Ovis aries: one gene and its partner. Each later gene encodes a partner of the first gene's protein in a complex. Links are inferred from orthologs where the notes say so. Each region holds a gene or a part of one and is shown in the gene's direction. Other genes may lie near its edges.

What was found. The genes of interacting proteins can lie anywhere in the genome.
Region 2: the proteins of MDC1 (region 1) and PELI1 are in contact, whole or in part, in a crystal structure (PDB 9IF9), measured with the Homo sapiens proteins. The link is inferred for Ovis aries from reciprocal best matches to the Homo sapiens genes MDC1 and PELI1. Residues at the interface, in NP_055456.2 of Homo sapiens: Glu761, Asp762, Ser763, Glu764, Thr765, Gln766, Pro767, Phe768, Asp769; in NP_065702.2 of Homo sapiens: Arg104, Ser105, Thr106, Glu107, Thr115, Asp116, Val130, Gln131, Ser132, Thr133, Ile134, Ser135, Arg136, Phe137, Thr185, Asn186, Thr221, Arg222, Ser223, Ala224, Cys247.

What each region holds. Positions count from the first base shown.
Region 1 is NC_056073.1:27,419,500-27,424,947, forward strand, and holds the start of MDC1 (mediator of DNA damage checkpoint protein 1), read left to right. Parts: upstream 1-1,737; 5' UTR 1,738-2,076; coding exon 2,077-2,118; intron 2,119-3,621; coding exon 3,622-3,763; intron 3,764-4,129; coding exon 4,130-4,510; intron 4,511-4,595; coding exon 4,596-4,665; intron 4,666-4,955; coding exon 4,956-5,448. UniProt on the Homo sapiens protein: Histone reader protein required for checkpoint-mediated cell cycle arrest in response to DNA damage within both the S phase and G2/M phases of the cell cycle.
Region 2 is NC_056056.1:44,196,442-44,201,267, forward strand, and holds part of PELI1 (E3 ubiquitin-protein ligase pellino homolog 1), read left to right. Parts: intron 1-3,673; coding exon 3,674-3,775; intron 3,776-4,826. UniProt on the Homo sapiens protein: E3 ubiquitin ligase catalyzing the covalent attachment of ubiquitin moieties onto substrate proteins. Involved in the TLR and IL-1 signaling pathways via interaction with the complex containing IRAK kinases and TRAF6.

The sequences.
Region 1 (5,448 bases):
TGATTTCACTGAGAGGTGGTTGACCATTGCAATCTTTCAAGAACCTCGGGATTAAAATAAAAGTAGGGAGGGTGATGGGAAAAAAATGGATGAGCTCAAATCTGAGTGGCATGTTTCTTCTCAGGGATTAATTCAACTTGAGCGATATTAAATGTCCACCAAAGGAGCTAGGATGAAGGATTAGCTCACTGGTGGCTCAGGCGGTAAAGCGTCTGCCTACAATGTGGGAGACCCGGGTTCGATCCTTGGGTTGGGAAGATCCTCTGGAGAAGGAAATGGCAACCCACTCCAGTACTCTTGCCTGGAAAATCCCATGGACGGAGGAGCCTGGTAGGCTACAATCTATGGGGTCGCAAAGAGGACACGACTGAGCGACTTCACCTTCACCTTACCTCACTGTCCTCCAGGATCTTGCAATTTGGTGAGAAGTGTATAACCACTAGTGTGGTAAGCACCATGATTAAAGGACATGGGATATCAGGCTCCGTATGTGCTCAGTCATGTACGACTCTTTGCGACCCCATGGACTGCAGCCCGCCTGGCTCCTCTGTCCATGGGATTTCCCAGGCAAGAATACTGGAGCTGGTTGCCATTTCCTTCTCCGCGGAATCTTTCCGACCCAGGGATCGAACTCGTTTCTCCTGCGTCTCCTGAATTGGCAAGAGAGCTGTTTACCTATGAGGCACTTGGTTAGATGATAGCAAGGTGTTAATTCACACTGGATTCAACACACATTTCTCATCTTCTAAATAAAAGAACATAAATTTCTGTAAAACTCGTCTACCCAGTTAAAATGTTTATGTTTGAAGGCACAATCACAGTGAAAGTAGTTATTTTGTGGTAGTGAAGAGAGTTCAGAATTCACGATTAAACAGTTTCAGTTTGTCTCTAACAGCCGTAGGAGCCTAGGCAAGCTAACTTCCGCAGAACTCTTATTTCTGGTCAGAACGAAGTGAGAATACTAATGCAAAAGGTCCTCCTAAATTATTCCTGTGAAATTGTCTTAGTATGAAATTTAGCAAAATAATTTACCATTCTGTAGCCCTTCAAAGACCTCGGTCAGCCTTTAAGATGGTTAACAAAAGAGTTCTCTCCGTTTGCCTAGATATCTTTACTCTAGGATAATGACCTCAAAGTGTCCATCAGGAATGGATTCTCAGGGAGGAAATGACATGACTTCTAGATGAGCTAAATCAAAAGGAAATGAACTTCCATTGTAGTGAGTCCTCAAGCGCCACGCCTACGGGCTATTCTCCAGACTGAAGTCTTCAGCCACGACTGCAGCCCGCAACCCTTATATTTCTCATGAGTCAGCGGACACCATTTCTGGGAGGACCAGAGAAGGCGCTCTGGCCGCACTACATGCTTAGGTCGACGACTGTGGTAAGCCCCTCTATCCGCTGCTGGCATCCAGACTCTGTGGTCGCAACTTGGAAATATACGCGGGAAGTGGGTGGTGAAACCGCAGTGGGTTGTCCCTTTGGAGCTGCCCAATCGAAGTGCGCTATTCTGTGCGCCTCCGAGGCTTCCGATTACCGCCTCGTCCAACGGATCTGTCTCCCCGGAGAAGCCGCCCCTTTGAGCCGTAAGGGGGCGGGGCGGGGCGGGGGCGGGGCTCCGGCTATGCCTCCGCGTTGGATTGCTCCGTCTGCTTGCCGCAGGGCCGAGAAAGACAAAGGCTTCAGCCAATCAGCTAATCAGCCCCTTCCCCGCTCAGGCACTGGCACCACCCCTGTCGCAGCCGTTACTGGTGGCGCGCGCGGGGACTCAAAGTAGGTGAGTTCTGGGGGGCCTCGCCCACGACTCCCCGGATGCCATCTTGGTTCTCCCGGAGGGCGGGAGGGGCGTGCCTTGGTTACGACTGGGCGGAGGATTCTTGGAAATTTGCTTCTCGGATTATAACCCTCATCTTCACTTGACGGCCCTCCCTGAGTTTAGGTATGAAGACACTGGGAGAGGTTGGGCTCAGAGGGAACCCTTGGGATCGAGATCAAAGTTGAAGGCCCATTGGATTGGAGCCGAAGGTCGTGGGCGCCGCTCATTTCGCCTTCATGAAACGATGTTAACACTTTCTCCATGGAGGTGTCCCACTTTCCTTGTCTACATTTTCCCTTTAAGGTAGCATCTTTCAAATTTAATTCCCACCCATACTAGTTTGACTTTTCATCTTATTATTTCATCAGGAGAGCAGAGTTAATTTTACGTTTGACTCATGAATGTATTCGAAATATCTCTAATGGTATCAGGTACACAGTAACTACTGTTGAATTAACATGATGGACCCTTGGGGAAAAGACAGTTCTAACTGGTCCAGTTCTCAAGGGGGATGTGTGAGGCAGAAATGGAATGTAATAGTTACACTATGGTGAGACCTATTAGGATAATATAAGTCCACCAACCACCGTGAAACACTTAGGATACATGGGAAATAGGGGAAAGTACCAGAACACAGAGAAGACTAAAGGCAAGGCTTTGCTTCGAAAGTGACATTTGAGCTAAAAGGATGGATAGGAGTTGGATCACAACACTAGGGGCAACGTCCTAAGGAGCTGGCTAAGGCCTGCAGATGTGAGAGAACGAGGACAGTGTGTTCAGAGATTAAGGAGAAGGTCCATGTTGTAGAACCACAGGCTTGGACGGGGTGGGGATGGGACACACATTTCAGGAGATGAGGTTCTGATCGTTGAGGGTCTTGCTAAGGAGTTTAGATATATTTTATCCTATGGGTATGGAAAACCATCAAAGAATATTAAACAGGAAGAGACATTATCTGAGTGAAAGATACTCAGTCTTATCTGACTCTACAGTCCCTGGAATTCTCCAGGCCACAGTACTGGAGTGTGTAGCCTTTCTCTTCTCCAGGGGATCTTCCCAACCCAGGGGTTGAACCCAGGTCTCCCGCATTGCAGGGAGATTCTTCACCAGCTGAGCCACAAGGGAAGCCCCATTATCTGAGTGATCTTAGACAAATCTGTTACTCCATCCCTGTTGCAGTTTCTTTATCTGAGAAATAGAAAGTAAAATAAGGAGTTTTCTGGCAGTCCAGTGGTTAGGACTCCGTGCTTCCACTACAGGGGCAAGGGATCAATCCCTGGTTAGGGAACTAAGATCCCACATGCTGTGTGGCCTTAGTTGGGGCATGTGGGCTATAGTTCTCTAACCCGGCGTTGCACCCTGGCCCCCTGCATTGGGAGCACAGAGTCTTAGCCACTGGACCGCCAGAGAAGTCTCTCAACTCAGTTTTTGTTTGTTTGTTTTGTTGGTGTTCTGTGGGTGGTTTTTTTTTTTTTTTTTTTTTGGTTTTTTGGCCATGCAGGATCTTAGTTCCCTGACCAAGGATGGAACCTGCACCCCCCAGCAGTGGAAGTGCAGAGTCTTAGCCACTGGACAACCAGGGAAGACCCTTATATTTCTGTACTTGGAACTCTGTTACATTTCTTTCTTATTCTGTGTCATGGTCAGAGATATTTCTTAAATGCTTCAGAGGAATAACAACAGAATGATTGGCAGAAAGAGAAGCATCAGCCTCCATAGCTATCCAGGAGACTGCAGTAACCAGTCTCCTCCCTGAGGCTGTGTGTGTGAGCCACTGAAGGAAGGGATAATGTGTTTTTTTCTCAGATCATGGAAGACACCCAGATTTTAAACTGGGAAGTTGAAGAAGAGGAGGAGGTTGCAGAGAGCCCCAATGAATCTCTGGGGTATAGCTTGGAGCCCCTAGCACAGCTGCATATCTTCAGTAGTTCCTATGGACCAGAAAAAGGTCAGGAGTAATTTCATGCTAAAGTACTGGCCTCTTATTTCTGTGGGGAGGTAATAGGATGATTGCAAGCTTAGATATGCATTTGTGAGATCTGGAAAAAATGTCTTACTGGGGACATTATTATTTGGGAAGCCCAAATTTTATATATATTTTACCACAATAGAAACAATCCAGTGTAGATGGATGGAATGTTGACTATGAATAATGCATTGCACATATTCTTTATTAGCTAGTTATTCTAGGGCCTTTTATTTTTCTAATGCATGAGGGGGACCTTGAGTGAGTCGTGGGGAACTTAACAGATGTTTTTCTTAATAGCAAGTTAGGAGTATGGCTTTGGAACTCACCTACCTCTCTAATTCTTAGACTTCCCACTCTACCTTGGAAAGAACATGATAGGCCGAATGCCTGATTGCTCTGTGGCCCTGCCCTTTTCATCAATATCCAAACAACATGCAGTGATTGAAATCTCTGCCTGGGACAAGGCGCCTGTCCTTCGGGATTGCGGGAGCCTCAATGGCACTCAAATCCTGCGGCCTCCTAAGGTCCTGAGCCCTGGGGTGAGTCATCGTTTGCGGGACCGGGAGTTGATTCTCTTTGCTGACTTGCCCTGCCAGTACCATCGCTTGGATGTCCCCCGGCCTTTTGTCTCCCGGGGCCCTCTAAGTGTAGAGGAGACACCCAGGGTACAGGGAGGAACTCAACCCTCCAGGCTTCTGTTGGCTGAGGACTCAGAGGAAGAAGTAGGTAAGTTTGTGTATCAGGAGGGTGGGTGAGGAGACAGGGACGGTGAGTGTAAAACTCTCCACTTACTCATTTCTACTCATGACAGATTCCCTTTTGGACAAGTGTGTGGTGAAAGGACCAAGGACCTCCTCTTCGGCAACAGTCGTTCCAGAGAGGTGAGTGTCAAAGGGCCAGGCATCTGAGTCTTCAGATGGATGAGGAAGCAGGGGCTGGAGGAGCCATCTCTGGGAGAGCTAATTACCATCAAAGTCTGGGCTGGGGAACCACACATACTCCTTCACTCAACTGAATTTTTACTGAGCGTCTCATGTGCCAACTAGAGAATTAATTGTTGGAGACAGAACAGCAAGTACTACCTTGCGTCTGCTCTCAAGGAGTTCCTACTTGAGTGGAATATCCCTTCTGGGGCAATCGATTCTATAGGTTTCTTCTCTTCCCTTCACAGTGATGAAGAAGGGCCTTCCCCTGCCCCAGATGGGCCCGGGCCACCTTCTGCCTTCAACTTGAACAGCGACACGGATGAGGAAGAAAGTCAGGAATCAGGAGCAGGGGAGGCCTCTTCAGCTGCCAGAAGAGGTACCGCTGCAGAGACGGAACAGCCTGAACCTGTCACAGCCGAGATCCAGATTGAGAAGGATCAGTGTTCCGTGAAGGAGAGGAACGGGGACACAGAAATCGAGAGGGATGTGAGGAATGGGGTGGTTCCGACTGGAGTGATTCTGGAGAGGAGCCAGCCTTCTGGGGAGGACAGTGACACAGATGTGAGTGATGAGAGTGGGCCTCGAAGAAGGCTTGTTGGGGTCCGTCCGAAAAGGGCCTGGTCTTGTAACTTCATAGACAGTGATACCGATGGAGAGGACGAGGGGATCCCTGCTACCCCAGCAGTGGTTCCCATGAAGGAGAGGCAGATCTTCCACGAAGCTGGTACACAGAGCCCC
Region 2 (4,826 bases), on another chromosome or scaffold:
AGCATTGATTGTGCAGTGTGTGGCCGGGCATTGTCATGGAGCAGAATTGGGCCCTTGCTGTTGACCATTGCCGGCTACAGGTGTTGCAGTTTTGGGTGCATCTGATTGATTTGCTGAACATGTTTCTCAGATGTAACGGTTCACCAGGATTCCGAAAGCTATAGTGGATCATATGGGCAGCAGGCCACCAAACAGTGACCATGACATTTTTTTGGTGCAAGTTTGGCTTTGAGAAGGGCTCTGGAGCTTCTCAGTCCAACCACTGAGTTGATCATTGCCAGTTGTATAAAATCCACTTTTCGTCACATGTCACAATCCGGTTGAAAAATGGTTTGTTGTTGTGTAGAATAAGAGAGGATGTCACTTCAAAATGATTTTTTTGATTTGCAGTCAGCTCATTAGGCACCCACTTACCAAGATTTTTTACCTTTCTAATTTGCTTCAAATGCCAAATGACCGTAGAATGGTCGACGTTGAATTCTTTGGCAATTTCTTGTGTAGTTATAAGAGGATCCGCTTCAGTGATGCTTTCAGTTGGTCACTGTCAACTTCTGATAGCCAGCCACCACACTCGTCATCTTCAAGGCGCTTGTCTCCTTTGCAAAACTTCTTGAACCACCACTGCACTGTACGTTCACTAGCAGTTCCTGGGCCAGATGCATTATTGATGTTACAAGTTGTCTCTGCTACGTTATGACCCGTTTTGAACTCGAATAAAAAAATTGCCCAAATTTGCTTTATATCTAGCATCATTTCTGTAGTCTAAAATAAATATAAACAAGTAATAAGTCATTAGCAAAAAAAATAAAGTGAGAAATGCACATTAAAATGATGTATAATAACATAGCCACATTTATTTAGGAATTTATTCCAGTATTAAAGGCAGAGTTCAACAATGCAGAACAGCCATTACTTTTGCACCAACCTAATATTCTTGGTCCCTTCCCACTGAATGCCATTTCAGCCCTCAAATCATTGTGATGGCCAGCAAACACAGCCGGCAAACGCCCCTTACACAGCTGACACTACCTCTGGTTAAGAACTACTATCCTAGGGAAATCTTTCTAAGCCTTGCTTCTGTAATTTCCTGTTGTGTACGTCTCTTCATGTTTTTACTGTCATACTTCTCATGTTTCATTGCTGGCTCCTTTGCATCTTTACTAGGCAGCAGGAATCTTAGGGATCAAAAATTGACTTTCTGCTTTTTCAGTTTTGGAGGAGTGTATAATGAGGTCAGGGAGAAAACTAACTGTTTAGTCTAGCAGTCATCTGGGATGAGTGCTTAAACCCTGACTTCCAATCCAGTGAGAATTTAACTTGACACAGCTCTGTATTCTCAATCTGAGTAGATCTCATAGTTTAAAAAAACACAGTTTATAATCTCAAAGTATACAAAACCTGTGTTTTTAAATCCCTTTAGCCTTTAAGAATTAATGGCCAAAGTACTAAAAAATTATTTCATTGAAAAGTCAGCTGCTTAATGTTGAGATAAAGTAATTATAGATTTTTAAATCTTTAAAACCATTTTGTCATGTTTATGAGTGCATCAATGTGTGGTAAAGCCTGCATATAAAGCCTGTTAAAGTGCATGGGAGTGACGTTAACTGTACTCTTGAGGTTCAGTTCCTCTACAGAGACAGGAGTAGGGAAGGACATATAAGCAGCCTTCATTATATCTGCAGTTTAATTTCTTTTAAAATATCAGAAGCAGAAATGGTATTAGTAAGAATGATAAAAGTTGGGTAGTTAGTACCCAGGTATTTATATATTCTTTTTGTATATTTGAAAATTTCACAGTCTTAATTATCTTAAAACTATGAAGACTTTATCATTACAGGTTAGCTACCAATTGAAACCAAGTAAAATTTCATAATACCAAAGTTCTAATTACGAAAGTGTTTTTTTGTTTTCATTTAGCCTCTTTGCTGCATATAATCATTCTTCTGTGTCTTTCTCTGTTTCTTTTACACAGCCTGTTTCCACTTCCTCTGTGCAGGTTTTTCCCCCTCTGATATTATCATCAACTCATATGCATAGAAAACGCCCGAAAACAAAACTGAGAAGTTCTTTTTAACAATGTTTTTAGTTTGGCATATGTCAAAAGTACAGTCATAAGCATTATATCCATTTCCTTTGGTATGTTTAATCATTCTATGAATTTTTCTGTATCTAGCCTAGCATATGGCAAATACTTGTCATCTATAGAGTCACAGAGTGGCTAGAAAAACCAGTTAACTTTGCTTATTTGTTAACTTTAAGCCTCTTTGAGTTATTAAATAAGATTCTTAAATAAATAATCTTGTCTTGCAAGATTTTGTGTTTTCTCCTTATCAGAGCAGTACTGAGTACTGCTTTCATTTTCTATCTGGGATTTGATTTTTAAGTATCTTATAACTTGAAATACTTATAATGGAGACTCAGATTTTACAATTTTTTTATACAGTGAACTTATGTTTTTACTCTGTAATTGCTTCAGTGCACAGATAGACCTCAGATATATTTTGGGATCAGTTTCAGACCACCACAATAAAGCAAATCACAACTGGTTTCATTTCCTAATATATATATAAAAGTTATGTTTGCACCATGCTGTGGTCCCCTAAGTGTGCAGGCTTCCCTGGTGGCTCAGAGAGTGAAGAATCCACCTGGTAAATAACCACCTCCATTTAGGAGACCTGGGTTCAATCCATGGGTCAGGAAGATCCCCAGAAGAAGGGAATGGCAACCCACTCCAGTATTCTTGCCTGGAGAACCCCAGGGATAGAGGACCAGGCGGGCTACAGTCCATCAGTCACAAAGAGTCGGATATGACTGAGTGACTGAGAACTAAGTGTTCAGTAATAGCATCATGAAAGTTACTCAGTTGTGTCCAACTCTTGCGACCTCATCGACTGTAGCCTACTAGGCTCCCCTCTCCATGGACTTTCCCACCATTGAGCCACCAGGAAAGCCCTTAATTTTAAAGTACTTTTAACGCTAAATGCTAACCATCATCTGACAATGCAGAGTTGCCACAAATCTTCAGTTTATAAAAAATTCAGTTATCTGTGAAGCATAATAAAATGAGGTCTGCCTAAATTCTTCTGTACTCCACTCACTCTAAGAAACCACTGTCACAGCAAAGGTTATGCAAGTTATTAATCTCTAAATTTCAGGGGGAAAATATGTCATACATGTAATAAATAGATCATTGTTTTTTAAAGAAAGAATAAAAACCTCTATTTTTCTTATTCTCAATTGATCAAACATTTTATTCAAAGTAGCAGCAGTGATGTCCTTGATTATGTATTAACATATATATTTTTATACGTCTGTGTATGGTTGAAATGAATACCAGCAGTGACATAAGAGATGTTTTGTTTTGTAATTATAAAATAGTTGACTTACCCTTGAAGCAATATAGTGGTATTTTTTTTTTAACTTTTGTTTTATGTTGGAGTACATATACTCCAATACAATGTATTAGTGTTGGGTGTGCAACAGGGTGATTCAGTTATACATTTATATGTATCTCTTCTTTCTCAAATTCTTTTTCCAATTACATTGTTATAGTATAATGAGCACAGCTCCCTCTCTTTTTTTTTTGAAAAAAAGGTTATCTTTTATCTATTATGGTTATCTATTTAGATTGATGTACCTGCTAATTTCTGCTATTAATCTTTTTTTTTCTTAGGCAATAAGCAATAAGGACCAGCATAGCATATCATACACCTTGTCTCGAGCACAGACAGTAGTGGTTGAATATACTCATGACAGCAACACTGATATGTTTCAGGTATTATAACATCTAAACTTTTTTTCTTAAAAAACAAAAAAAGGTTAAAAACCTGTTGTAATTGACTTTCGCTGTGGTCAGCTTAAAGGTTATCACACTTAATGCATTTCATTAAAATATATTTTGATTTCTAAACCCCATGTATAAAAGTCCACATAGCATGGGTAAGAGATGGGCTCTGATATCAGAATTTCTGGTAAACATTACTTAGCCACTCTCTGCATCAGTTTCCTCCTATAAAGTGAGATAATAGAACTTCCTTCAGATGACTATTAGGAAGCTTAAATGTGTTAGTCCCTCTGAAGTATTCAGAACTGTGCCAGGTACCTGGTAAACACTTAGCTACTAGTATTGGTAGCTGTAAAAATTACTATTATCTATTATTATCCAAAAAAGAAACCAAGGGATATTTTATACACATTTATGATCTTTTTTGCTGTTACTTCTCACTTTCCTCTCTAGGCAACTAAAAGTACAGTTTCTAATTATTCATATCATATACGTGAAGTTAAACTTTCTTCTCAGCACATATTTGGTCAAAGCTAATGGTATAGTAAGTTTTTATTTCTCTCATTCTTTGTACCAATCCAGTACTGATGATTTTATAAATCAGTGATAGAAAAGCCAAACCTTAAAGACATAAGCAAGATTCTTGATATTCATGACATCGTCTCTCAATATTGGGTTTTTGTAAAGCCTTGGGCTTTTTTGAAACAAACTTAAATAGGATATAAAGTGCCTCATAATGTTGTTCTTATAATTATTGTCCCAATGACTTTACACTTTTTCTTAAATTTATGAGATAAAATGAAGATAAAAAGGCCTGGAGGTGTCTTTGCTGTAGTCAGTAACAAAATATTTCTTTAAAGTCACTTTATAGTCAACCCTCTTAATGGAATGCTGAATTTTTTAGAATAGTAGAAATATTTTTAGTTCCAAAGGTTTAAGACCATTTTCTTTAGATATCGTATTCTTAGAAATAAAGAAAAGGAACATCCAAATGTTACATTTTTTTAATCAATAAATTTCCCCCTAAAACTATCCAGACTAA